7 linked regions of the Daphnia pulex genome follow. The protein of the gene in region 2 binds, or shares a complex with, the protein of the main gene of each other region. Links are inferred from orthologs where the notes say so. Each region holds a gene or a part of one and is shown on either strand. Other genes may lie near its edges.

Region 1 (4,081 bases), on a different chromosome or scaffold from region 2:
CATTGCTTTTGGGTAGTTCCTCTTCCTGGTTTGATGGAGCGGATTCTTTTGCCATTTTCCAAGCTTTGGCCATAGCCAAGAGCTTAAGATTGGGTTTAGTAGCTTCATCCTCGGGGAAAATGTAGTCGAAATACTCTTCCCAACCAGCATCGGTCTAAAAAAAAAAAGAAAAGAAAAAAACATTGCAACGCACAAAATTTTGCATCTAAACGCAAAATATTATCACATACCCCATCTTGTGTTTGGATCCGCCTCCTCTTCTTCACACGTCTAGGCATCAAGTTAACAACCGCATTGCGAGATCCCTCATCTCCATATTCATATTCGAATTCTTGCCAAGCCTCCAACAACATCAATCGCTCCTCTTTGTTGGTAGCCACTTCAAGACCGACTGACTGAGCTATAGAACGTAGCGACCTAGTAACATAATGGGGAATTAAGAAGGTAATTTACGGAGGCTAATAGTTCAAAGCAAAGAAATGCGAACTTGTTTGCACGCTGGAAGACTGCTCTAGCTGCTGCGACTGGCAAACTTGGGTCCTCCTGCTGAGATGCTGCTAGAGTGAGCTCAAATTGAGCAAAACTCATCCAGACTTTTACGTGCTGCGTGCGTTCTAGAAGTCTCTCATATAACGATCGGGCTTTATCATTCTCCTCTTGTTCGATTTCAAAATCGATGTAAGCCTGAAGAACAAACACAACTCCATTAGGAATGAGATCTGTGCACATATTTAAAGTTTAATTTACCTTCCAAAGAATTTCTGGCATATCTAGTAGAGGCTGCTTGATGGCAAGCTCGTAAATGCCGCGAGCACGATCCACATCTCCCAGTAAAGTTTCTAGTTCGGCGAATTTCATCCAAGTGGTGCAATTTTCTGGACCGTTTTGGAGGAACTTTTCATACAATGTCCTGCAGCGGTCAAATTCTCTCAGCTGGATCTCCAAATCAATATATCCACGGAACAACTTGTTCTATAAATAACCAGATTTATTAAAAACTGGTTCATAGACTGGCCTCTAATTAGATTTCATATTTGAAAGAAAAAATACTGAAACATATTTACCTTTGGACATTTACCAATCGCAGTACCTAAAATTTTACGCGCCAATTGCAGATTTTTCTGTCGAACTTCGAAATGGGCGTAAAGGAGCCACATTTTGGCGAATGTGAAGTTACGATGCGGAATGAGCTTAAGACATGAATCGTAGACCTGTCGAGTTTTTTCATAATCTTCGGCTTCCAGTTCTTCGAAAAGTGCATAGTTAATCCACAGATAGATGTAACGACGCCAAAAGGACTTCTCAGCTACTAGCGGGATGTTGGCAATAGCTCTTTCGTATGTATCTCGCACTACTTCAACGTCAGCGTCACCTAAAGATACAATACACATTCGACACAATTCCTTAAAAATTTGATAGTAAGTCAAAATACCTTCACTTTCCATTAGGCGTAAATAATCAAACCATGCATCATAATTTGATGGATTTTCTTTAATTTCTTGTTCATACTGAAATTTTCTTTTACTGACAATAACGTCTTCTATAGCGTCACGCTCTCCAAATTTTTTCTGGTGAATTGTGTAGGCTTTGTACAATTCTGCTGCTTTATCTTTTGACATGTGTTCGAGAGCAAATTTGTAAATAGCAGTTGCTCGTTCATGTTCTTTTTGGCCCTCTTCAAACTTGGAAAAGGCTATGAAAAGCCTTTCGTCCATGTGATCATCACCATAAAAATCCACCGACCGTTCATACACCTGGCGGGCACCGATAATGTAACCGTTCCTTTCTTCAAACTTGGCATACTTGATCCAATTTTTTACTTCCGGGTGCACATAGACAAACCGTTCAAAAATTGAGCGAGCACGATCTAATTCTTTATACCTAGTTATTGGACAAAAATTGGACGTTGATAAGTGTAACGTTAGTATTTACTACATTTATTTACCTTAATTCAAAATTGATGTATGTTTGCCAAGCTTGTTCATCTGGCTGCCATTCCATCCACCTTTCAAATACTTGACGACAACCAGCTATATTGGCCAGCATTTCCTCCATGTAGGTATATTTATACCAAAACTGATTTGCTCTAGGCAAAATTGTAACTGCACGGTCCCACAAGTTTCTGGCATGATTGACTTGCTTATTTTTCATTTCCATTTCTGAATACTAAATTTTTTTAAAATTAGATATTTATTATTTCACAGATTTAACAAATGAAAATTAATTACCTTCAGCCAAAGGGTAATGTTACGATGGTCTACATCAAGAGCACGCTCAAAAACACTTCTGGCTCTTTGAATTTCTTTTTGGCTTTCTTCCCATTGAGCATACTTGATCCAGTTGGTAATAACATTACGATTACGCCGCAGAGCATCTTCAAAGGTTTTGCGTTTCTTGTACTGGTAGTCTGCTAACTCATCGGGATCTGAAATTTTTTGTTTAGGGGGCTAAAAATAGAAAATTTCTTACTTCAGTTCTTCAAGTTGTTATCTATTGCCGAAACACTTACTGGTGGAACAATTTCAAGATCACGTTCCTTAGCTTCCCGAAGCAACTGCTCAGCAGTGATTTGAATTTCTGCCGGTGTTTTGTTTTTAACCTAAAGAGAAATGTGTTATAAGTAATGTCAAGAGCATTCTTACATTTAAGTATTACAACCTTGGCAACTTTAGGAGGTTTTTGTGGTTTACCGAATCCACCCGAATCCATTTTAGATTACTTTTTAAATGAGCACTTGTAAAAAAAATAAAATAAGGTTTTAACAGATATGAGTCTATGACTGACACTTGGTACTGTAGTATTGAACTGACACGAGCAAGTGATGCTTCTTGCAGATTGCAGTTGCGCGAGCGCGACTCGTACGAACCGAACAGACGACGAATCGGACGTTGCCAGATTGATTGTTTACCAGCTTTCAACAGGTTTTTTGAAAGATTTTAACCGGATTTAGCACTTTTCAGGTTTCAGTTTTACAGGAATACTGGAATACACTCTATTTATTCTATAGTTTCAAGACATAAATATTGCAAATATCTGATAAGTGATAATGGCAAATTTTGTTTATTTTTCAGTAAATATCAAACAGCATAACAAGTTCCATTGCAATTCATTCTCCCGTATTCGCAACCCATCGACCAAATTATAATCATCGTTTAATATCGTTATTCTATGGACTGAAGTCCGACTATTTCACATCAATTTTTTTGTTTTATTTTCATGCTGAAAGTTCAGGCGGGCAATCTGGTTGTCGGCTCGGGTGAGCCTTTACGAAAGGCTCAAGAACTTCGAGATTCTTTTCCACACGAGCAATATTAGGAAACTGTGCCACGTCCACATCAAACCTTATTCAGACGAAGCGTGAGAAAAAGAGAACATGAAACGAATCATGGAAACTTTAGTCTTTACCTCCTTGCATTGTACAGTTGTGGGATAAGGCAACAATCAGCCATTGTAACATCATCTCCAACACAGTAATTTCCACTGGAAGTTTCTAATATTTTTTCTAATGCTGTAATAAAAAATTGGGTTTTTATATAAACTTTGCACATATTTCTTAGAGTTTATTAATTTTTTTATTGATATATTCATGAAGATCTTCACCTACCAGTGAGTCCTTTGAAAATCCACTTAGCAGCCCAATCTTTCTGTTTAGATTCTTCAAATTGTTTAAGTACAGCCAAATTCTGTAAGGGTTGAATCCCAGAACCAATAATTTCACATATTTCTCTCACTTTGAATCTAATCACACCATCTTTTGGCAATAAGGGTTTTAAAGGATAAGATTCTTCTAAATATTCCAAAATAGCTACCTAAATGTACAGGAGATGGAAGTAAAAATTATGCATTGAAATTTGAACTGGAAGGTCTTATATATCTATAGTGTCATATTCATATAGTGTCCCTCTTACCGACTGAGTGAAAACTTTGTCCCCAATTGTTAGTGATGGAACTTGAGCCATGGGGTTTATGATTTTATAGTCATCAGCATTCTAAATACATAGAAAAATATGCCAGCGGTATTTTAGCTATTTATATGGGTTTAACTGTGAACATTGTGATGATTTAATAATTTTAAAATTTA
Region 2 (4,066 bases):
CAAAGTATTCGAAGTGCTTGGTATGCCTTGCCATTCAATCCTTTCAGCCCAATCAATGAGCAATAATTCTGAGGCCGGTCCACCTGAATCAGAATCACAAATAGTTTAAACAATGCATCATTAGAGTAAGATAAAAAGAAATACGATTAGATTCCCTTTAGTTGTTTCAGCCTTTTGTTTCGTTGCAATAATCTGTAGTAGTGCTGCTGGTAAAGGATATCTATGAGTTCTGACTCGAACATTGTCTGAATTCAAAGAATCTCCAATGACTGGTCTTTCACGTTGGAGATTGAACAACAGACATTCCAACTTTAGCTCTGCAGCCTGAGGGAAGGGATCTGGTTACAGAAGTGTTGTCACTTATAAATTTGATCATTAAATTACCAACACAGATGAGAGTGATGACGAGACTAGATGAGGTTCTTCTGTTCAACGTCTTATTCAAGCAGGTTGTAAAGGTGAATTCCATATGGATTTGGTACAGAAGTCTCTAACACAATATTTCTGTTTCCATCAGCCTCTTAAATGAATCTTGTCAGGCTTCAGTTTACTGCAGGAAGGTTGAATTGTTTTGATATCAAAACAATCCCTTCCTTCTGGGTCACTGGGTGCTGCTGTGCTGACGAAATTAACTTTCTCAGTTTTTGCTAGACAAAGAAATAGTTGTAGGAATAGAAATTAAACAAGATTAAGATTAGAAATTTAAATTCTTTCCTCAACAATAGTTAATAACTTAGAAGCTCTGTGAGAATCAAATCGTTGGCTACAAATAAGCTGTCAAATTTTTAACAACAAACCTGTTTCACTCCTTTTGCATCTCTCAACAGATCACTTAATTCTTGTCCGACGACATTTTGTTTGTTTTGCTTTTCAATAACACAATTAAAATCGGTTAATATTCTAATAAGCAAATAGTTATTTGTTTACTAAAAACGTGATATGGAAACGGAAACGAAGCCGTTCAAATAATGGAAAGGTTTCGGCTTCTTATTATAAAAAACAAGTTGATAATAAACTGAAACGAATCTGTGAACGGAAACGGGTCCGCTCACTGATTTGAAAAACGCGTTGATTTGTCAAAAATCGGTTAACTGAAACGAATCCGATTATGAATCAGCTAGAGGCGCTAGAGGGTAGGCATAACGTTATTGCCTTCATGCGACTCTAGCGTAAGAGAACGGAAACCAATCCGTTCTACAACCCTCAAAAAATCCGTTTTTTAACGACACGGAATCGGATCAGTATCAGTTCACTGGTGAAGACTGTGTTGTTTGACCGCTAGGCTTGACTCCACAAGTTAGTCTGCTTCGTTTGCCGTGGAAGATCTTGTAGCTTTTTTGCTTGTCCGGCAAGTTCAGACGGACTCAACGTTATTAATGCCTTGTTTACAAATTCGTTTCTAATAAACATTTAAAAATGAGTTTAGAAACGTGGGTTAGCGATCAGTTAATCGAGATATTGGACTTCAGTGACCGCTATACTTCTCAGTTTTTGACATCCCTGGCTCATAAAAGTTCTTCAGTGAATGAACTTATCGAAAAAGTTCGTTTCACAGACACTATCGATGTGACAAATGCAAAAGTGATGAGTTTTCTATCAGAGTTATGGGGAAAGATTCCGAGAGCTGCCCCTAAAGTAAATGTTGAAAGAATTGCCGCCAAGCAACAAGAACAAGCCATGTTAGCAATGATCGAAAAAAACAAGAGATATAAGCTGATAGAAGACAGCGATGAAGAAGGAATGGCACCACCTCCACCACCAGTAAATAAAAAGATCAAGAAGGAAAAGAAGAAGTCTGATTCAAGCAGTGAAGATGAAGATGAAAAACAACGAGTCAAAGATTTGAAGGAAAGAGATGAGTTCTCTGAACGTCTTAAACTCAAAGATAAAGATAAACAGAGGAATGTGGTTACTGTGGGAAAAGGTATATTTACTATTTAATATTTGTAATAACTATTAAAATAAAATGTTTAAATTATCTAGGTTTTGCTGAAGCTGCAAAGAGGCTTCAAATGGAGGCTGAAGACAAAGCCAGCGTTATTCCCAAACTCAGAGTGGAATCACGTCGAAAATATTTGGAGAAGCGAAAAGGAGACAAGATTAATGAATTGGAAGCAGATATTTTCGACGATGAGTACTTGTTCGATGAGCAACAACTCACGGAGCGTGAACGAAAGGATCGCGAATACAAGAAAAAAATTCTCAGTCTTGCGAAAGAACATGACAAAGCACGAGAATTGGAATTGGTTCAACGATACCATATGCCCGATGATAAGCGGGACAAAGCAATGCCTGATAGGTACGTCGAGATAGATGACCGTGAAAAGCAACCTCATTCCGAACAAAAAGTTTGGGAAGATGCTCGCATGGCCACTGCTCAGTGGAATTTCGGTGCCAGAGATGCAAAACAGCGTCTTCAGGAGAAGGGAAAAGTTCATGATTATGACCTCTTATTGGATGACACCATTGACTTTATCCAAACAAACCAACTTGCAGGAACCAAGGGTATCGAAGGTAAAGTAACACACCTAAAACCTTCTGAATAAATGTTTAATAATCTTATCCCTCCACCTTTTTTTTTCGTTTTAACTATATTAGAACAACCTGAGGTAAGCGACATCCAGAAAAAGAAAATGTCTCTTCAGGATACGAGGAAATCGCTTCCAATATTTCCGTTTCGCGAAGACTTACTCCAAGCCGTCGAAGACCATCAGATCCTGATCGTGGAAGGAGAGACTGGATCAGGAAAAACGACGCAAATTCCCCAGTATCTGTACGAAGCGGGATACTGTAAAGATGGCAAGAAAGTCGGTTGTACCCAACCACGTCGAGTTGCAGCCATGAGTGTTGCTGCTCGTGTCGCCCAGGTAGAATTCAATCAAGAATTGTAATCTTGACAAGGATCTTATTTTGTGCGATTCCGTTTACAGGAAATGGGCAAGAAACTCGGTAACGAAGTAGGCTACAGCATTCGATTTGAAGATTGCACGTCAGAGAGGACTGTTATCAAGTACATGACTGACGGTATGTTGCTGCGTGAATTTCTCTCTGAGCCCGATTTGCAGAGCTATAGTGTCATGATTATTGACGAAGCCCACGAGCGAACACTCCATACCGATATTCTTTTTGGGCTGATCAAGGTGAGCCGTCCTTACACAACAACTCTTAAATTGTTGAATAATTTCCTATAAATTCTTTCAGGATATTGCACGGTTTCGACCTGACCTGAAGCTGCTAATTTCCAGTGCTACATTGGACGCTGAAAAGTTTTCCGATTTCTTCGACGAAGCTCCTATATTTAGGATTCCCGGTCGAAGATTCCCAGTCGAAATTTTTTACACCAAAGCTCCTGAGGCTGATTATATCGATGCTTGCGTTGTCACTATTCTACAGATTCACGTCACACAAGACTCGGGTGACATTCTTGTCTTTCTTACTGGTCAAGAAGAAATTGAAACGGCACTGGAGAGTCTGACGGAACGTACTCGAAGATTGGGCACCAGGATCAAAGAGTTGCTTATTCTTCCTATCTACGCAAATTTACCGTCAGACATGCAGGTTCGTTTTTGCTTATTCAAAGTTTATCCTTTTCATATCTTTTCATTTTCTCTTGCCAGGCAAAAATTTTCGAGCCAACGCCTCCCGGAGCACGGAAATGCATTCTGGCTACGAATATCGCAGAAACGTCTTTGACTATTGACAACATTATCTTCGTCATTGACCCAGGCTTTTGCAAGCAAAATTCCTATAATGCCCGAACTGGCATGGAATCCCTTGTTGTCGTTCCTATTTCGAAAGCGTCGGCGAATCAACGAGCTGGACGTGCTGGACGTGTAGCAGCTGGCAAATGTTTCCGCCTATACACAGCATGGGCCTACAAGCACGAGCTTGAAGAGAACACTGTGCCAGAAATTCAGCGAGTTAATTTAGGCAACGTCGTTCTGCTTCTCAAATCACTTGGAATCAACGATTTGATTCACTTCGACTTTTTGGATCCGCCTCCGCACGAGACTTTGGCTTTGGCACTGGAACAACTCTACGCTCTAGGAGCCCTGAACCACATGGG
Region 3 (4,095 bases), on a different chromosome or scaffold from region 2:
ACGTCTGGAAAAATTGGACAAGTTTGTTACCTTTTTTCTTCTTGCCTCGGCGTATCCTCACTGGACACAAGAAAGCCATGACTCAGGTGTGCACCAGACACTCAACACACACTAACACACGCACTATTAACTCGAAATCGATTGGTAAAATGCACTTGATTAGTTTAATTTGTTTGACACAATTAGCAGGGCAATGTCGATTGTTGTATGTTCAGTCGTCAGGTGAGAATGAGAATTGACACAGCAGCAGAAAGAGTCAGCCTGGAAGAAGGCCTGGTTTCTGCTTCTGTTCCATGGCCTCCGCCAATACCCACTGGCACTGCACACCTTGAAAAACAGTCTCTGCTGGTAGATGGGAAGAAGAAGAAGAAGAAGAAGAAGCAACAACTTTACCTCCCAATCCCCCCTCTAACCAATTCCATCCAACCAGGTTTTCTCAAATACAGTTTGTTGCCTTTATGCTCCAGGGGCTCTTTTTCTTACCTTCTTCTTCTTCTTCTTCCTTCATTCACATTCTTTCCCTCTATATGCACCTTTATTATTATATACCTTTGGGCTCTTCTTCTTCTTCTTTCGCTGCTGCTGCTGCTGCTGCTAATTTATTTCTTCCCTTTTCTTGAGGATTGGAGTTTTTTTTGTTTGGGAAGGAAGAGACGCTTTTTACCTGTGCACACCGCCGCGTCTTATAGCCTAGCGGTCACGTAAAAGGTGCGCGCATGCCAGCTCAAGCTAAAAGGGATGTAGTCAGTCAACCAACAAGAAAGCCTTTTATTTTCTTAATTCATTTTTTTTTCTTCTTTTCAACCATTTCTGTCTGTGGTTGATTTATACTTTTTGATGGTTATCTTATTACACTTAAAAAAAAAAAGCCTTTGGGGACAAAGTTGCACCGGTCGTACAGTTATTTTATAAAGGCAAAGAGAGTTCAAGGAGCTCAAGTCTACTTAATAAGCAGTGACCGTTTGCTACCTACTCGCAGGATCAAATGACAAAACAGGTTCCTTGCAATTTTGGCTTCAACTGAAAAAACGACATTTTTCTTATAGTCAAATTAACCGGTTGGACGCGCCATGATTTCGGGATACATTATTTCGCGTCGATAAATTGAGAGGAAACCTTAGATTGGCATTTTCCCGTTATTCGTCCAATTGATTTTGTCATCGAAGAAAATTAGTTATGCGTAGCGTAACCCATATTTGATATGTTTTGTCCTTTTTTTCTTTCAGAAGCGCTGGCAGGAGCTGGCGCTATGCATATGCAGCAGTCGATTTATTTTTCTAAACTGGCAATGCTGTTTCCATTTTCCTGACTGAAGGGACAAGAGGGAAGGCGATCAATTGAGTTAGGGGTCCTCCATTTAAGACTTGAGTTTAGCCCGGCTTTATTCTCCCATTTATTTTTACTTTTATAGAATTACCTCGATTTGAGGTATTTTTCTTTCACAATGACTGATGCCGGTTTCTTCAGAGTAAGTGTTAATAATTACCCAAGTTAGAACTATTATTCCCTTGAATTGTTTGCAGCATCTCGACACGCCAACTCGGTCGTAAAATTCTTGCTTCATCAGTTGTGAAATCTGTTTTGTTAACTGATGGGATGCATTGTAATATTTGAATTCTTTCAACAGGGCACCTCAACTGAGCAAGACAATAGATTTAGTGACAAAGAGAAGAAGCTTTTGAAGACTATCAAATTTGCTGAAAATGTGACTAGAAAGGTAAATTATTGATCACCTGTGCAACTTTAACAACATCAATATGAGTTACATGTTAATATTCATTAATGCATGTTAAAAAATTCAGGTGGATATGAGCAAAGTTAAGTTGGAAACCATCAAACCATGGATCACAACCAAAATTACAGAACTTATGGGAGGAATTGAAGATGACGTCCTGGTGGAATATGTTTTTAATCAGCTCGAAGCTGACAAGGTAATATCCTTTTAATCTCAGCCGTGTAGATTTATCTTATGGGAAACATTTGCCACCAAAGCTTTTCACCAATCATTCTGCTGTTTATCTTATGCAATTTTTTTAATATCAGGCTGAAATAGCCATCACATACTAAGAATGATTGAACGTCAGCTCCTTTGCATCTGGTTCTTGTTTGTAATTTGGTTTAATGTGAAAGATAAGTTATGATTTAAGTTTTCACCACCCAGATGGCTTTGATTATATTTTGTCTGTGCTCATGCTCATCTCAATATCTTGTACACTTTTGGGTCCTGTGTTATGAAGACTTAATGTGGAATTGCATCAAAGCCTTGTTGTCACCATGTCACACACACCACCTTGACATGATGGATGCAAGGATTCTTTCTCGACCGAGACCTGGTCGCATTATTTCGAGGTCTTCTCTTCGAATTGATTCACCTTTCGGCCTGTTCCGTGGACGATTCCTCTTATCGTCGGCCACGATGTCTATGGATTTGGATTTCCAACGTTTCGCAGTCGACCGATGAAGGATTCACTCCTGCGAAATGATGGAATACGGCACGTTCTAAACCATCGAGTCATGAGAGGCAATTCTGGGATCGCCTTTCGCCCAGCCAATGCAACGCCTTCTCCCCCAGTTGATAGTTAACCGCACAGTCGACAACAGGGAAAACTCCTGTGTGGTTAAGTCGGGCTCTGATCGCAGTAGGCCTACTCAGGAATCCGTGTTGAGAAGCTGAGAAGAAGAGATCCTTTCGTCTCGGCCCAAAAAGCAGGACGGTACAGTCGACAGAGATAAGACTCCTGTGCCGTTCGCTAACGTGGTCGAAGCTGCTAGATTTGCCTGATAGATGACGACAGACCATCCCATCTTTAAAAATCACCTGATCGATCGCATCGTGGTGCCGGGGTAGCCATCAGGAGTAGGACTAGTCAGATGACGACCCAATAGCTGGGCGGTACAGTCGACAGGACAACTCCTGTGCCGCTCGCTTCGTGGTCGTCTCTTTGATACCGAGTCGCCGGTGTTTTTATGACGGATGGGAAACTCGGTTCTCCCTCAACGCCCAGATTGGAAAAAAAGAAATAAGAGATTTTTTTCTGTTGTCACTCTGGTCGAGCTCTCAGGCAAGAATAACAAACCAAAACAAACTACGTAAAACAGCTTATCCTTTTAAAGAGCAAACCCCTGAAAGGTATTGCTCGCTTAATCCGCCGAGATCATACCGAAACCTAATCTATTTGTGTCCGTTTACTTAAGTATCTCTTTTCCATTTCGGTTGTTTGATTTTTCTGTTATTTGTCTTTTTTTTTTCTTAAAACCTATAGAACCCTGACCCTCGTCGCATGCAAATCAATTTAACTGGATTCCTCAACGGCAAGAATGCCAGGATTCTGATGACTGAATTGTGGGATCTTCTACTATCTGCCCAAGAATCGTCTGCTGGAATTCCGGAGGTCTTTATGGCACAGAAGAAGGAAGAAATCAAATTAAGAAAGGTATGCAACCATCGGAAATAATTCGCGGTATTAGTTTTGTTTCTATCATTTTCGTCTTTATTGGTTTGCAGGAAGAACAAGATCGAATCCAGGAAGCAATCAAAAAGGCCGACCGGGATCGGCGCGCTGACCGAGAAAAGGAACGCAACGACCGTACTGACAAACGAGCTTCCAAAGATAGAAGCCGTAGCCCCAACAAGGACAGGGTGATCAAGAAGGAAGGAGACAATCCCCGCTCTTCACCTCGTCGTGACGGCCGACGTCCTTCATTGGAGCGTCGTTCTCCTAATCGAGGCAAGGCGTCGCCACCGCCTCGTCGTCGCTCACCTGCCAGATCGCCAGCAAGGCGCTCGCCTCGTCGATCTCCACGTCGATCACCTGTTCGTCGCTCCCCAGCTCGCCGTTCTCCTGCACGCAGATCTCCCGCTCGTCGCTCGCCAGCTAGACGATCACCCGTTCGCCGCTCTCCCGCTAGGAGATCTCCAGTTCGAAGGTCCCCAGCCCGCAGATCTCCTGTTCGTCGGTCACCGGTCCGCAGGTCGCCCGTTCGAAGATCTCCCAGGCGTTCACCTGTTCGTAATCATTCTCCTCGGCGTCCTTCACCACGCCGTTCGCCCGTGAGGAAGTCACCCGTTCGACACCGGTCGGCGGAACGTCGTCG
Region 4 (2,424 bases), on a different chromosome or scaffold from region 2:
GCGCGCTCGCCATATGTTTCCAAGCTAAAGTGTATGCTAGTTAAAAAATCATAAAAAATTGAAATTAATAAATTTTTACTTGAAACTTTTACCAACGGTAGACGACATAGTCGTCTACATTTGGACAAAGTTTCAAATTTTTCTAATGAAACTCTGATTTTTCTCGATTTTTTAAAATAGAAAAATAGAGGGAAGAGAATAGGGGAGAACAAAGGGGTCCGGCGGTTTTCCCTCTTCTATTCTTCCCCCGGGCTAGGATTTCGTCCCTGCGCCACCAAAATAAATCGGAATTGTTTTTTAAAAAATCGGGACAAATCAGAGTTTCATTAGAAAAATTTGAAACTTTGTCCAAATGTAGACGACTATGTCGTCTACCGTTGGTAAAAGTTTCAAGTAAAAATTTATTAATTTCAATTTTTTATGATTTTTTAACTAGCATACACTTTAGCTTGGAAACATATGGCGAGCGCGCCGATGTTTCCAAACTTTATGTCTAGCACTTTGGGGATAAAGTTCAATTTACTAAAATCTGAAAAAAATCATGGTGAAAGAAAATTCTTTCCTCACCAAGAAGATTTTTTAAAATTTGCTTTGCGATAACTCAAACGTGAGTTATCGCGAAAAAAGGGAGACACATTGGCCCGTAAGCCGCCGTGTTAGAAGCGCGGAAACACTCGCCGTGTTTCCAAACTTTGTGAGGGTACTGTATATAATATATTTCGTATCCACGGATATAGCTCCTCTGATTTGATCTATTACACCCCGAAGAGCCATCTCATGAAAATCATGGAAAATCAATTTTATAGCCCACGCACAAATAAAATTCCGTGACGGGCTACCGATGTGGTAGCCTTCAAGTCAACTCTCTTTATTTTTCTTTGATACCTATAATAATGTGCCATCATGTTTGTTTGCCCAGATTCAGGTTTCGGTTTTTTGCCCAGTTTTTTTTTTATGGGGGAATTGGAGACTGCGTTATTTTGACAAGATTAAAAGCGTTAATTTGTTTCAAAATTCGCGCAACCTAAACGGATACATCTCCTACATCTAGCGGTAAAGAATTAAACTCCACCGCAGGTTTTATTATAGCCGTTCTAATGTCGCAATAGTTTTTCCGTTCTAGTTTCGTTTCTAAAATATGGACGTTCTAGTGTCGGGTGGGCGTTCTAGTGACGACGACAGTGATAGTGCCACGACAGATGTCGTGGCAATAGACAGTTTCGACCGTATTGCCACGACATGATGTCGTGGCAATAGATTTAACCATCCCAGTCTTAGAAAAGGTTAAAGCCATCTCTGCTTGTCTATGTGAACTAACTGAAGTTTGCCTTATGATCGCTAGGTGGTAGTTTGCAAAAACAAAGCTTCGACTAGTCGACTCGAATCTAGCTTTGAAGTTTTTTTGTTGATTGACTAAACTAAAAACGCAGTTAAAGCCTGTAGAAAGATGGTGTGCGATAAATGTGAGAAAAAACTGGGTAAAGTTATAACTCCAGACCCATGGAAATCAGGAGCTCGAAATACCACAGAAGGTGGTGGTCGCAAGCTCAATGAAAACAAAGCTCTTACTTCTACAAAAAATCGTTTCAACCCATATACACCGAAATTTGAAGGCTGCAGAATATGTAAACAGAAAGTTCATCAAAATGGATCGTATTATTGTAAGTACCAAAGAATTTATAAGAAAAGAAGCTGAATTGAGTCTAACAAAATTACTGTAATTTGGAATTTACAGGTCAACCTTGTGCTTATAAAAAAGGAATCTGTTCGATGTGTGGAAAGAAAATTATTGACACAAAAAGCTACAAACAATCTTCCACTTGATAATCTGTTGTGTTATGTTGTGTTACAATCTTGTCTATGTCTCCTAATCTTTAAGTGAATGTGACATTGAATGGAATATATGAAATTAAGATGCTTGAAACTCTTTTCGTACTCTAGTGCTTTACTCATGTGAAGTTTGAGACCTTACAATCACTGTAATTATCTTGAGTGGTACTATATTAATTTTTGGTATTAAAATTTGTAAATTTTTCATACCTCAAGTATATGCAGAATATTACCAGTAAATTTTCTTTGTAAATTATCTTATGGCATGGCTAATGGATGGATATGTAAATTATACTCTGAACTCCATCCCTTATTTTGTCAGAGGTAATGCTTAAAAGGTTAAGGACCAAAGGTTAATCTCCTTTGAACAATTAAACTTAGACTGAGAATTGTTTTTTTTATGAGCTCAATAATCAATAAACACAGCGAATGATGTCGTTCTATGCAATTTAGCATTAGAATTAAACATGCTGTTTACATATATATACTAATTCCAGAAAATTTGCAGTACTTTTTACTTGTTGGCTAAGTCCATGCTAAGCAATAACAAACAAAAAATATTACTTGTAAGGCGTTATACGATATATTTCGAGA
Region 5 (3,946 bases), on a different chromosome or scaffold from region 2:
GCTACACAGGCTTCTGGAGGCTAGGTGTTTTTATCGTGGACTTTCCACTGGACTCTTTTCATGATGATTATTACTTACACTTGTCTGGTGATATTCAAGTCTTCTGCTGCATTTTCGATTTACCATTATGTACATTCTTGCAAAATGTTTCGTCACTTTACAGTATTGAATCAAGTGTTTTGTCTCGTAATCAATGAATAAATAAAACTAGTCACAGACATTTCATTTGAAATGTATTCTGGTCTTGGAGAAAAGGAATCATTGTTTTTGTGGTTTTTTTAAAAAGATTTTTTTTTGTGTGAGGTAAAATGAAACAAATTGCGAAATCGTCAACGGAAAGAAAAACAATATTTAGTCTCGACGCCGTCTCTTATCCTTGTCCTTGTCTGAGCGTTCCGCGTCAGTGGGTCGTTTGCTACTGGCCTTGCGGACGTCCGTCAAAAACTTGTCGAGGCCGAAAGGATCCTCTTCCTTCTCAAACTGAACTGGACCACTGCGGGAGCCGGAAGGACCAGAACGATCAGTTCCGCTAAATTCCTTATCAGGTACAAACCTGTAAACAAATGAAAAACAAAATGAGTTTCAACTTCATAAACCAATGCACCTTGAAAGTAGGTCAACTTACTTGCTGGTCTTGACAAGTTTATCCAAATCGTCGCCGTACAAATCTTGATCGAGGTTCTTGGTCGGACGATAGAGATTACTGGACAGAGTTCCTTGTTCACGCCAAGGTTTGTCGTAGACATTGTAGGCCTCATCATCGGCGAATCCACTGTCCATTCCACGAGTTTGGTTCAGTAAACGCTGATCGTACATGGTCTCGCCACTTGCAGAAGCTCGAGCAGGCATCCCCAATGCAATCTGCTCACTAATGTCACGCTCGCGTTGGCGATCGAGTTTGGATCTACGCGTCAATGGAAATTGTTAATTAATTGACTGGAAAAAGTTGAAAGGAAATCAAATGTTTAATACTTTTTATCGCCGGGAGCCGCGCGTGCAATGTTGCGCTCACGTTGACGCTCACGATGCCGTTCTTGTCTCAAGTTGTCACGCTCCGCTGCATCATCGTCGTCTTCACGAGCAGCAGCAGCGCCTGCACCGGGTCGCAGACCTGCTCTCTCTTCGCGGACTTGCTGCGCCAGCTGTCGCAGAGTATCTTCCTTCTTTTCCTTTTCTTTTTGCGCTTGTTTCTTTTGAAGTTGGGCGCGAAGTTCAACCGACTCTCTGGCCTTTCGATCGGCTATGTACAATGATTCGGCCAATTTCGCGAATTTCTCGTTAATGTGAACCTGCGAGAAACAACAACATTTAGTTGATTGGGGAAAGACACGTTTTTAGGTCGTTAGGGACGGCACCTGTTGAAGTCCTCGACCATCGGCTGCCAAACGTTTGTCAAGAGGAATGGTGTAACCTTTAGCGTTCTTCCAATTTGAAATGCAAGGCGGAATTTTCCATTCCTGTTGTTCCTTGACAGTTACTTTACGTGTAGGAGAATGCAACACGGGGGCAGGAGGAGAAGGTGGACCACGGGGGATTTTTTGGTTGATTTTGAACCTAGTGAAAAATAATCAGTCAATATGGGAATGAAATGAAATGGCACTTTTTCTAAAATTTACCTTGGGGGTTCCATGGGATCTTTTTGTACTTCAACCATGCGGATAATGCGTTGTTTGGCGCCAGAATTGAATTCATCACCCTGCTGTGCTGGTGTGTAGCGAATGAATTGAGCAGGGCCAGTTCTCTCTGCGGCACGGACTGGAAGAGCTGCTTCTACTTTGGCATTGGTGATTCTTTCCAGGGCTTGTCTCGTTTTCTCTGTTATATCTGCAATTTCATCGTCTGTGGGCTTGTGCAAAGAGGGATCATCCTCATTGGTAATTTCAGCAGGCAGGAGATCAGTGAATTTGGAGTAGACGTGTTTGTCCTTCCCATGGCCTTGCCTGGCAATAGCATCATATTTGATCTTTCCCTCTGCATCAAGTTGGATGGCCAAGGCATTTGACTTTTGTCCAGCCTGGTCTTTGCGACCCATGTCCATTGGATATTGGGCCATGTGAATTTCGGGAAAAGCACCTCCATCTCCGAAATCGGAAACATTTCGAGGCATCCATGAATCGCGATTTCCGTATGGTGGGATTGCCTTTGTGGCGGCCACGATGGCCGTTTGGCGATTAGCACGTTCCTTTTGCTCCTCGACATCTCGATCCCACGTCAACTGCGTTGGCGCTGGGAGATAACTGTATAAAATAACATGACCATAATTAATACATAGTTTAAATACAAGGAAATCAAAAAAATAATTATTATACCTTGATAACGACGCCATGTTTTCAGTCGAGTCTTTCAACCAAGATGTTGCCAAATACAAAAATTGTAACTCGAGAATAATTTATGATGCAACGTTGTCAGATTGTTTCTTCGCAACAGAGCGAGATAAAATGCGGGATATTTTCGGCTTTTCGCAACATCGACATTTTATTCGATACAAATTAAAAAAAAAAGAATATTATTAAATTATCCAGAGTTTACATAAAATTGTGTCTCCATCAATGGGATGGGGCGCTCAAGACGTGATGGGAATTATATAAAAAAAGGAAAAACGTCGTATCGATCCTGAAAACTTTTTACAAGATTGTGGCGCCGTGTGTGTGTGTATGCTCTGCGTTGGATGTATCCAATAAGGTTTAATGATGGGCGGAATAAATAGACGCACTTGAGATGAGAGTGTTAGCGCGCCTTTTCTTATTACAGTCTCTCTCTCATATTCCTTCCGACGTTTTTCTTCTCCGTTCCATAAAAAAATAAGAGCGCAGTCAACAACCTTTTTCCTTCTCCTCGCAGCCGTTCTTGGCATTTTTTACGGTAATGAGATGAAAGTCGAGAGTGGGTGGAAAAGAATAAGAAAGTCAAGTAATCCATACCCGCCCCGAGTTGAAATACGAACGCTTGTCAACTCTAATGGAACTTCGCGTCTCTTGCAATCTGCTTGTAATAACATCTAATGGCAAGGCAAAATATAACGAGTTGCCGCCCACTGTGTTTTTCGTTTGATGCAACGCAATTAACGCCGACGTGTAAAAGTGAGCGCTGATGAAATCGACCCTCTCTGTGTTACAAGTTGGACGCCGAGCGGAACTGAGCGCATCGCCATATGAAAAAAGTAAACACCTTAAAAACTTTCACTTTGGCCAATATATCCCACGACGACGACACAGTCGTAAAAATAAATGCTGTTCTCGTTGGGAGGGTTGCACCATCTGATTTATCAACGGATAGCTGGCTTAACAGTCTGAAATCCGGTGGCCATAAATGCCAACGTAAGAGTTTGATATACTATAGTGAATAGATTCTCATTTTGAAGCGATGCGAATCAGCGAGGCAGTTCAGAGTCTCGTCCCATAACAAATGATAAATGTGGATGTGCGGTGACCGTGAGCTCGCCTCATCTCCGTCTCTCTTCCGCCTTCCGTTTCGACTTTCAATGTGTGGGCCAATAAATCTCTTTTGCGGCGTAGGGCTTTATAATGCATCCACAATGCATACAGTACATCCGATAATAGAGAGACAGTTGTAGGACAAGATTTGGGAACTTTTCGACGACGACGGCTGCTCTCTTTGCAACAGGAAATCAATACGAGATGTGCTGATGCCGGTCTCCAATAAATAAAGGAACGGCAGCAGCAGCACGTCTCATTATCAAAGTCTTCTTCTTCCTCTGTATATATATCATCTATTTGATCCAAGACTATATATGTGTGTGTATAGCAGTTTCGCCTTTTCCCTTGTGCGATAATACAGTTGGCTGGGTGGTGGGGGTTGGTTGAGGCTCTTTGGACGGATCGATCGATATAGGCCGCCTTGTCTCGCTCAGACTATACTATGTAGGCCTTGGCACAAGGGGAACTTGATTTGGCACCGGGGTGCTTGTGGCGCAGCAGCTGATGGT
Region 6 (3,976 bases), on a different chromosome or scaffold from region 2:
GGAGCAACAGCAACAGGCTCTGGTATAGCTACGAAGAGAGTCTCCTCCGGTTCCGCCTCGGCTTCTTTCTTAGGCGTATTGACTTGTTGGATCTGATTCATCTCTTCCTTCTCCTTTTTGAGAAGTTCCTCATTTTCTGCTCGGATTTTCTTTAATTGCTCCATTTCTTGCCGGTCAATCTGGCGTTGGGAACGCCGCTTAGGTGAAGGTTGGCGCGTTGATCCACCACCACCACCTATACCCGTCGAAACGCTATCAGAACTATCAACTTCAGAACTCATCGCACTGTCGGCGTTTCTCGAGTTACTAATTGCCGGGCCATGCGCAGCTGAATAACAATGGTCAAGTGAGATGGACGCAACAGCCTCAGTGTCATCCGGAGCTGGATAGAAAAAACAATAATATAATCTAGATACACTTACTACTACTACACAAAGTTATTTGGCAAACCTCCTGTAAGTTCGGGATCAAGCAGGTCATCTAGACCAGCTTCTGGTGGGAGAATATTGTTGAAAAAAGCCCCAGCTTCTGCTTGTAATGCATGCTCAATTTTCTCGATCTCTTCCTGATCAAGAGCTAAGAGTGGATCTGTTGTTTCTAAAACTTGCTCACTAATTTTTGGCCCTGCTTTGACATTTCCATTAACTTGAGCAATTTCCTGGTCAGTTTCCATCAATTCTTCCTCGTTTTCCTTGAGTACAGGGCTAGAGACTGGGTTGAAATCTTCTTCTACAGTTATGTTGACATCAGTACTGCTGTCACCTGCAACATCATTGACTCTAACTACGCTTAGAGTTGTATTCTCTTGAGAGCCTGAAAATAAGGTAAATGAATAAAAACATGATTTCCCTCCAAAATGTGACGACTTACTAAGAAGTTGAAGTGTTTCCTGATCAACTGATATGTCACCAGTGTCATTATCAACAATAATGATTAGTGTGTTTCCAGCAGAGGAGCTATCGTCTGTGGTATCTGCCACAAAAGTACTCGACATGCTGTTGTCGAATTTGTAGCACACTTGTATCTAAATGTCAGTAAACGAGTAATCCAAAACGCGTCACTTATTGACCAGCTCGGAACGGCCCACTATCAAAGTTCAAACCAAAGCCACTAAAAACTTCACCCGATTCTATGGGCAACCACAAGCCCAAAACTTTTTTGTTGACAAACTTTGAAACTCCTGATTGCATCAAAATACACATAAACACCAAGCCGACTCATGGCTAGATGCCGCCATTTTGCGTTTTTTTTATATAAATCAATTTCAATGTGCCATGTTGCCGGCGACGCTTCCAATAGAAGCCATCTGGCGTGAATAATTACATCTTCTGTTAGTCACTAACAGATGGCGATTTGATCAGTACGTTAGACAACGCCGGCAACAATCGAGTACAAACCTCATGTAAATTTTGATTTGGTTTCGTTTTTACAATATAACAACAATCATGGGAGAGGTAAATTTTGCAATTAAAAAAATTATGAACAATTTCTAATTTACAAAATTTCATATCTCTACAGGATATTCAGAAGCATTCCGTGCATACGCTAGTGTTTCGATCACTGAAGAGAACCCACGACATGTTTCTGTCAGAAGAGGGTAGTCTACCTCCTCTTGATCAAAAAGCGTGTGTTGAAATAACTTTACATTGTTTCAACGTATTAAGTAACTCAATTCTATTTGATTATCTAGAGTGTCTGCCTGGCGATCATCAAAAGCTAAAGATACGTATGGTCCAATAGTTGAACTGGTCAGGAAACAACAAGAGATAGCGAAAAAAACAGGGCTTCCGGTAAATTACCCTGGAGGACAGCTTGCTCTAACTAACAAATCTGGTAATTTATTTTCCCCTATATTGATTGGAAATATGTATTTTTAAGTGGAATGTTTATTTTTTTACAGAACAAGATGGAGAGACCAGCCAAGCTTTGGCTCTTATGCCTTCAGGAACAATCGGGGGACATCAGATGCCACAATCTTCAGCAAATGTATCAACTGTTGGTATACCAGGCTATGCTGCAGGTGAGAAAAATATGCAGTCATTGTTTTCCCATCTATTTACTAAAAAAGAATCTTATTAGGTGGACCCACAAACAATACACAATCTTTAATAACCCGTAAAGCCCCAACAATGCCCAAGCCACAGTGGCATCCACCATGGAAACTTTGTCGTGTTATCAGTGGTCATATTGGTTGGGTACGCTGTGTAGCTGTTGATCCTACGAATGAATGGTTTTGCACAGGATCTGCTGACAGAGTTATTAAGGTAATTTATTCCTTACATTTATAAGAGTCAAGTTTTTCATTTTGAAATTCTTATAGATTTGGGATTTGGCCTCTGGACGGCTGAAACTTTCGCTTACAGGCCATGTCAGCACCGTCCGTGCTCTTCAAGTCAGCCCAAGACATCCGTACCTTTTCAGTGCTGGTGAAGATCGACAAGTGAAATGCTGGGATTTGGAGTACAACAAAGTAGCCATCACCATTTCAATTTACCGTGTAAGAAATATTAACAAAATCTTTTTCAGGTTATCCGGCACTACCACGGCCATTTGAGTGCCGTTTATAGTATGGCCCTTCATCCAACCATCGACGTTTTAGTAACTTGTGGTCGTGACTCTACTGCCCGTGTTTGGGACATGCGATCCAAAGCAAACATTCATACCCTAACTGGCCACACCAACACCGTAGCATCAGTTGTTTGTCAAGCAGCCGAACCTCAAGTATTCAAAGCAGTTTTCGACACTCATAATCCAGAATTTTAATTTTACCTTTCGAAACCATAGATTATTACTAGTAGTCATGACAGCACTATTCGATTATGGGATTTGGCGGCTGGCAGATCAATGGCTACTTTGACGAATCACAAGAAAAGTGTCCGGGCAGTGGCAATGCACCCTAACCTGTATGAAGCTAACCCATTATTTCACAACACATTGAATGTACAATTAATTTTAAAAAATTATGTTGCAGCTACATGTTTGCATCCGCCTCGCCGGATAATATCAAACAATGGAAGTGCCCCGAAGGCAAGTTTATTCAGAATCTTTCGGGCCACAATGCCATTCTTAATTGCCTTGCCATCAATGCTGACAACGTAATGGTATCGGGTGCTGATAACGGATCACTCCACTTCTGGGATTTCAAGACTGGATACAATTTCCAGCGCTCACAGGTATAAATGCATTTAGTTGAAACTGTGTTTTGAACGTTTCTTTAACTGTTCCTATTCAAATTTAAGGCCCCCGTGCAACCAGGCTCAATGGATAGTGAAGCTGGAGTATTTGCCATGGCCTTTGACCACAGTGGTTCACGTCTCATAACGGCCGAAGCAGATAAAACTATCAAAATCTACAAAGAGGACGACGAAGCTAATGAAGAGACACACCCCATCAACTGGAAGCCCGACTTATTAAAACGGCGTCGTTATTAACTCGCCATCTCCTGTACCGTACAATACAACTTGATTTTTAAACGATTTGTTGGCGCAAACTTGTATTATTACTTCAGTAATGTGCTGAGTTATTATGCGCTTATGGATTATTTATATTATGGATAGCTCGGGAATCCCAAGCTATCCCGAGTCGGGATAGCTTTAGCTTGTCAATTATATAATCACTGATTTCAGCGTGAATGTTTTAGGCAATCAAATAGTGATGAGGTTCTTAGCAATTTAGAATACCTACTTGAGAATAATTTAGGGTCACTCCTTGTTTGTGATAACGTATTAGCTTTCAACAAGCAGCCAAATGCCACACGTAAAGAACGAGTACATAAAAATCTTCTGGTTTTCAATTCATCCCAAAATGTAGTTAGAAAAAATATTGTTAAAAAATGTTAAGACTAGTCAAAGAAAACCTTTTGCTTCGTTGCATAACATTTAATTATTTAATTTACAAAGCTCACGTTTTCACGCGGTCTTAAATTTTGAAACACTGTATTTTGGCGGGAAAAATGGAAGGGAAACCGAGAACCCTG
Region 7 (3,507 bases), on a different chromosome or scaffold from region 2:
AGTAATAATTCAATACATTTTTAAAAATAATTGATTACGATATTGCCACGAAAAATCGCCCCATATCGAGCAATCACAATTCGACCACGAATGTCTATGCCGAGAGATTTCAAGTACTCAAAATCTTGTTTCCGACCATAATTTGCGTAAATGAGTTCCCCCTATGAAATGGTGTAATTAAGTTAAGTGTCATCAATAAAACAACGATAGAAATTTAATTTCACCTCGACAGTTCCGTTAGCTGAATAAGCGTTAAAATTGGGTTGAACTAACGGAGAGAATTCTTCGCTGGAAAAGAGTGGCGTCTGACGTCCTGAGGTGGTGAAGTTCACCTTGCCGTTGGAGTCGAGTAGCGAGACCTGATTGGGGTTGCTCATGTCTGGGTAGGAAAGCAGCACCTTGTAAGGAACCAATTGGACTTCGTCTAATCCTCCCTCGACGAAACGATCGCGCACCCAACTAGCCACTTCCAAATCCTGTGGAGTTCCAGCTAAATTCGGTATACTGCTCAAATATCTGTGACAATCATTTTGGGAGTTAATTAGACAATGAATCAAATTTGTCTTTTGATTAGCGATGATGTTGGACTTACTTGAGATATTCGCCAATATTTGATGCACTGAGCTCCTCCATCAAAGTGGCAGACATTTTCGCCTTCTGAGGCGACACGTCGTCCCTATCATTTCCGATAGCGTAACGACCGATGAGAATTCCTTTGTCAGGTGGAAAGATGAAGTCAAACCAACACATACAGTAACATTTCAAATGATTACGATACCTATGATAAGACAAATTACAGAAGCCGTGCAAATTAAAATCCAGTTGGGTTTTTGCGCCATCGTTTCGCTGCGATCACTTCTCCACACCCTTCCGTTCTCGTTTACTGTACCTCAAATAATAACGACGGTTTGAAAAGAAACAGGTTATTAAATAGCTGAAAATATGACAATGAAAGCACGGGAAGTGCGGGTAGAAAGTCGGGTTCGAGATTGCGTGTTCCATATGCAGCGGCACGCAAATACCTGGACAGTAACTAAGGTGATTTGACAAGCCAACCAGACCATCGGTTGCTTGTGGTTTAACACAAGACAGGTCGCATGCTTAACTGACGGGTGACTCTTGTAAAAAATGTAAACGCCATAGGCAATGAATACATTTCTTTAAAATCGCTATTACATAAATCTATTTTTTTTAAACAATTTTTTTTATTTTGAAAACTTCCCGATAGATGGTGTATAGTTTCACGCGTTAACCATAGGTGGAGCTTGTATTCATATTTCGTGTGAAAGCGTTGACAAACGCGAGGGATTACGGTTTGTAAATATTCCCCTGAAATTATTGTAAAAATGAGTGCTCCTATGAGCAAATTAGAATATCTGAAAAAGTACATGTCCTCTTCGAAAAAAGAAGAAAATAAAGTCAAGAAAAAGAAACTCAGGCCCTTACTGAAAGCCAAAGGGTAAGTCAGGCTTTTTGTGAACTTTAGACAATACACATCATTTTTTAATTTTAACTTAAGCTTTTTCTTAATCTAGTCAATTTGTTTTCATTTACTTATTAGGGGCATCAAGATCGTTGATGAAGAAATAGATTTGAGGAAGATAGCTGCAGGATACGAGAAAGATGAAGACCAAATTGACAACCAAGAAGATGCTCCTCTGGTGGCTGGGGTTGTCGATAATCGTTCCATAGAAATGATAACCAAACAAGACTTTGTGGAAAGTTCAAAGTGGAAGAGACTTGGTGTGGATGAAAATGACAAACCAAAATCCATGTCTAAATCAAGTGATCGAGATATTGATTCAAGTGACAGTCACTTACCAAGGAAAGATTCCACTGCCTTGAAACGACCAATCACAGTGAAGAAAGAAAGACATGATTCAGATTCAGATCCCAGTCCTCCACGTAGAAGACACGATTCTGATTCAGATGCCAGCCCACCTAGAAGAAAGCGCCATGATTCAGACTCTGATCCATCTCCACTTAGAAGAACGAGAAAAGACTCTGATCAAAGCCCACCACGAAAACGTCACGATTCAGACTCAGATGCTAGTCCTCCTCGAAGAACAAGGAAAGACTCGGATCAAAGCCCACAACGAAAGCGACACGATTCAGACTCGGACCAAAGTCCATTAAGAAGGCGTAAAGGCTCCGATTCCGACCAGAGTCCACCAAGAAAGCATCAAAATGCTGACGGTGATCTCAGTCCTCCGCGGCGGAAGAAAAACGTTGATTCCGGTGCCCAAATGCGCATCAAACCAGATCCAGACGGAGACCTCAGCCCTGAGCGTCCTAATAAATCAACATCACGCAGCGGAGGAGCTTCGGAGAAACTGACCAAAACCCTAGATGGAAAGATGGCCGGCCTTCAGACTGGCAGAGCTTTGCGTGAGGAGACTGATGCATTACGCAAGAGAGAAGAGGAAGCCTTCCGCAAAATGGACAAATCACTCACTGGGCAGAACGCCACGACTGCCATCCGAGCTGGCAAGCTGCGCCAAATTGAAGCCAAGCAACAGGTTGATAAAGAAAAAGCCGAGAAGATTGCCAAGCTGCAAGAAGCTTACCAAAAATGGAACAAGGGTCTTAAACAAGGAGAAACGCATTCGACGCAAGTTGCCGAAGCCATTCACGAAATGTCCAAACCGCTGGCTCGTTTCGCCGATGACGAAGATTTGGAAAGGTTGTTACGCGAACAAGATCGTGAAGGTGATCCCATGGCTGCTTACATGGCCAAGAAAAAGGTCAAGAGCGGTGGTGACGGCAAGGGGAAAGCCGCTAGACCTGTCTACAGGGGCCCTGCTGCTGCTCCCAATCGTTTCGGTATACTACCCGGCTACAGATGGGACGGGGTTGACCGCTCGACTGGCTACGAGAAGATGTACTTTGAAAAACAAAACAACGCCGTGGCCCTTCAGGAGGAAGCCTACAAATGGAGTGTATCCGACATGTGATTCCGATGATGAATTTACCTTGACTGAATAAAGCCATGCAATTACTTTTAGTAGCCAATGACGCCTGTCCTTGTTCTTAACATTTCCCTTTTTATTACCTCGACGGAATGGGGCCCATCCATCAACATTCAAAATTGCAGGGTTTTTTTCAGATTCAACGAGAGGCGCGCGGAGGAAATTCCATGCGGATGGCGTCAACACTTTGCACATTTTCCGAGTCGCGACTCTACCAGCAGTTCGTGAAAGTTGCCCAACCCATGTTGTAGAGGAGGTGCGGCTATTCATGAATCGTCCGTCGTGGTTGAATCGGAAAATTCTATCCGGAAGATGACACCCTTTCCGGCCTTGGCTGCCTTCAAATCATTTTTCTTCTGTTGTTCAGCAGCAGAAAAAGAAAAGAAAGAAAAGGCGTTGGGGTCGTTTCTGTTGAGTGTGTCGAGTGCGCTATGGCCAGATGGCGCTTTGGCTGAGTGTGTCGAAAGAGAAGGGAGGAAGGTCACGGCACGAAGTGGGCCGGCCGTTTTCAGGTGTGCCCTGTTGTCCGTGTTGTCTA

The links.
Region 1: pre-mRNA-splicing factor ATP-dependent RNA helicase DHX16-like (region 2) and crooked neck-like protein 1 share a complex: the UniProt entries of both Homo sapiens proteins name them as parts of the minor spliceosome. The link is inferred for Daphnia pulex from reciprocal best matches to the Homo sapiens genes DHX16 and CRNKL1.
Region 3: pre-mRNA-splicing factor ATP-dependent RNA helicase DHX16-like (region 2) and serine/arginine repetitive matrix protein 1-like share a complex: the UniProt entries of both Homo sapiens proteins name them as parts of the minor spliceosome. The link is inferred for Daphnia pulex from reciprocal best matches to the Homo sapiens genes DHX16 and SRRM1.
Region 4: pre-mRNA-splicing factor ATP-dependent RNA helicase DHX16-like (region 2) and cysteine-rich PDZ-binding protein-like share a complex: the UniProt entries of both Homo sapiens proteins name them as parts of the minor spliceosome. The link is inferred for Daphnia pulex from reciprocal best matches to the Homo sapiens genes DHX16 and CRIPT.
Region 5: pre-mRNA-splicing factor ATP-dependent RNA helicase DHX16-like (region 2) and puff-specific protein Bx42-like share a complex: the UniProt entries of both Homo sapiens proteins name them as parts of the minor spliceosome. The link is inferred for Daphnia pulex from reciprocal best matches to the Homo sapiens genes DHX16 and SNW1.
Region 6: pre-mRNA-splicing factor ATP-dependent RNA helicase DHX16-like (region 2) and pleiotropic regulator 1-like share a complex: the UniProt entries of both Homo sapiens proteins name them as parts of the minor spliceosome. The link is inferred for Daphnia pulex from reciprocal best matches to the Homo sapiens genes DHX16 and PLRG1.
Region 7: pre-mRNA-splicing factor ATP-dependent RNA helicase DHX16-like (region 2) and BUD13 homolog share a complex: the UniProt entries of both Homo sapiens proteins name them as parts of the minor spliceosome. The link is inferred for Daphnia pulex from reciprocal best matches to the Homo sapiens genes DHX16 and BUD13.

What each region holds. Positions count from the first base shown.
Region 1 is NC_060026.1:11,199,262-11,203,342, forward strand, and holds the start of crooked neck-like protein 1, read right to left. Parts: upstream 2,801-4,081; 5' UTR 2,710-2,800; coding exon 2,659-2,709; exon of another isoform or gene 2,656-2,658; intron 2,600-2,655; coding exon 2,510-2,599; intron 2,448-2,509; coding exon 2,229-2,447; intron 2,167-2,228; coding exon 1,946-2,166; intron 1,882-1,945; coding exon 1,433-1,881; intron 1,373-1,432; coding exon 1,065-1,372; intron 973-1,064; coding exon 748-972; intron 685-747; coding exon 488-684; intron 418-487; coding exon 231-417; intron 155-230; coding exon 1-154. Other genes in the region: probable maleylacetoacetate isomerase 2, read right to left, coding at 3,215-3,341, 3,406-3,508, 3,605-3,809, 3,909-3,989. UniProt on the Homo sapiens protein: Involved in pre-mRNA splicing process. As a component of the minor spliceosome, involved in the splicing of U12-type introns in pre-mRNAs.
Region 2 is NC_060022.1:5,692,132-5,696,197, reverse strand, and holds the start of pre-mRNA-splicing factor ATP-dependent RNA helicase DHX16-like, read left to right. Parts: upstream 1-1,266; 5' UTR 1,267-1,416; coding exon 1,417-1,924; intron 1,925-1,983; coding exon 1,984-2,514; intron 2,515-2,598; coding exon 2,599-2,867; intron 2,868-2,930; coding exon 2,931-3,140; intron 3,141-3,201; coding exon 3,202-3,558; intron 3,559-3,617; coding exon 3,618-4,066. UniProt on the Homo sapiens protein: Required for pre-mRNA splicing as a component of the spliceosome. Contributes to pre-mRNA splicing after spliceosome formation and prior to the first transesterification reaction.
Region 3 is NC_060027.1:2,460,189-2,464,283, forward strand, and holds the start of serine/arginine repetitive matrix protein 1-like, read left to right. Parts: upstream 1-1,295; 5' UTR 1,296-1,444; coding exon 1,445-1,468; intron 1,469-1,627; coding exon 1,628-1,717; intron 1,718-1,802; coding exon 1,803-1,931; intron 1,932-2,244; exon of another isoform or gene 2,245-3,062; intron 3,063-3,263; coding exon 3,264-3,434; intron 3,435-3,505; coding exon 3,506-4,095. Other genes in the region: SH3 domain-containing protein Dlish-like, read right to left, coding at 31-79. UniProt on the Homo sapiens protein: Part of pre- and post-splicing multiprotein mRNP complexes. As a component of the minor spliceosome, involved in the splicing of U12-type introns in pre-mRNAs. Involved in numerous pre-mRNA processing events.
Region 4 is NC_060021.1:4,590,300-4,592,723, forward strand, and holds cysteine-rich PDZ-binding protein-like, read left to right. Parts: upstream 1-1,327; 5' UTR 1,328-1,447; coding exon 1,448-1,661; intron 1,662-1,735; coding exon 1,736-1,824; 3' UTR 1,825-1,924; downstream 1,925-2,424. UniProt on the Homo sapiens protein: As a component of the minor spliceosome, involved in the splicing of U12-type introns in pre-mRNAs. Involved in the cytoskeletal anchoring of DLG4 in excitatory synapses.
Region 5 is NC_060018.1:216,233-220,178, reverse strand, and holds puff-specific protein Bx42-like, read right to left. Parts: upstream 2,801-3,946; 5' UTR 2,327-2,800; coding exon 2,310-2,326; intron 2,238-2,309; coding exon 1,617-2,237; intron 1,555-1,616; coding exon 1,356-1,554; intron 1,290-1,355; coding exon 973-1,289; intron 905-972; coding exon 626-904; intron 554-625; coding exon 352-553; 3' UTR 217-351; downstream 1-216. Other genes in the region: uncharacterized protein LOC124188708, read left to right, coding at 1-64. UniProt on the Homo sapiens protein: Involved in pre-mRNA splicing as component of the spliceosome. As a component of the minor spliceosome, involved in the splicing of U12-type introns in pre-mRNAs.
Region 6 is NC_060021.1:1,388,871-1,392,846, reverse strand, and holds pleiotropic regulator 1-like, read left to right. Parts: upstream 1-1,328; 5' UTR 1,329-1,445; coding exon 1,446-1,454; intron 1,455-1,518; coding exon 1,519-1,625; intron 1,626-1,690; coding exon 1,691-1,833; intron 1,834-1,900; coding exon 1,901-2,020; intron 2,021-2,079; coding exon 2,080-2,264; intron 2,265-2,320; coding exon 2,321-2,470; intron 2,471-2,526; coding exon 2,527-2,721; intron 2,722-2,784; coding exon 2,785-2,903; intron 2,904-2,971; coding exon 2,972-3,173; intron 3,174-3,239; coding exon 3,240-3,431; 3' UTR 3,432-3,476; downstream 3,477-3,976. Other genes in the region: death-inducer obliterator 1-like, read right to left, coding at 1-382, 451-813, 871-994. UniProt on the Homo sapiens protein: Involved in pre-mRNA splicing as component of the spliceosome. Component of the PRP19-CDC5L complex that forms an integral part of the spliceosome and is required for activating pre-mRNA splicing.
Region 7 is NC_060019.1:12,606,436-12,609,942, forward strand, and holds BUD13 homolog, read left to right. Parts: upstream 1-1,323; 5' UTR 1,324-1,346; coding exon 1,347-1,459; intron 1,460-1,561; coding exon 1,562-2,954; 3' UTR 2,955-3,007; downstream 3,008-3,507. Other genes in the region: glutamate carboxypeptidase 2-like, read right to left, coding at 39-161, 225-516, 593-713, 779-839. UniProt on the Homo sapiens protein: Involved in pre-mRNA splicing as component of the activated spliceosome. As a component of the minor spliceosome, involved in the splicing of U12-type introns in pre-mRNAs.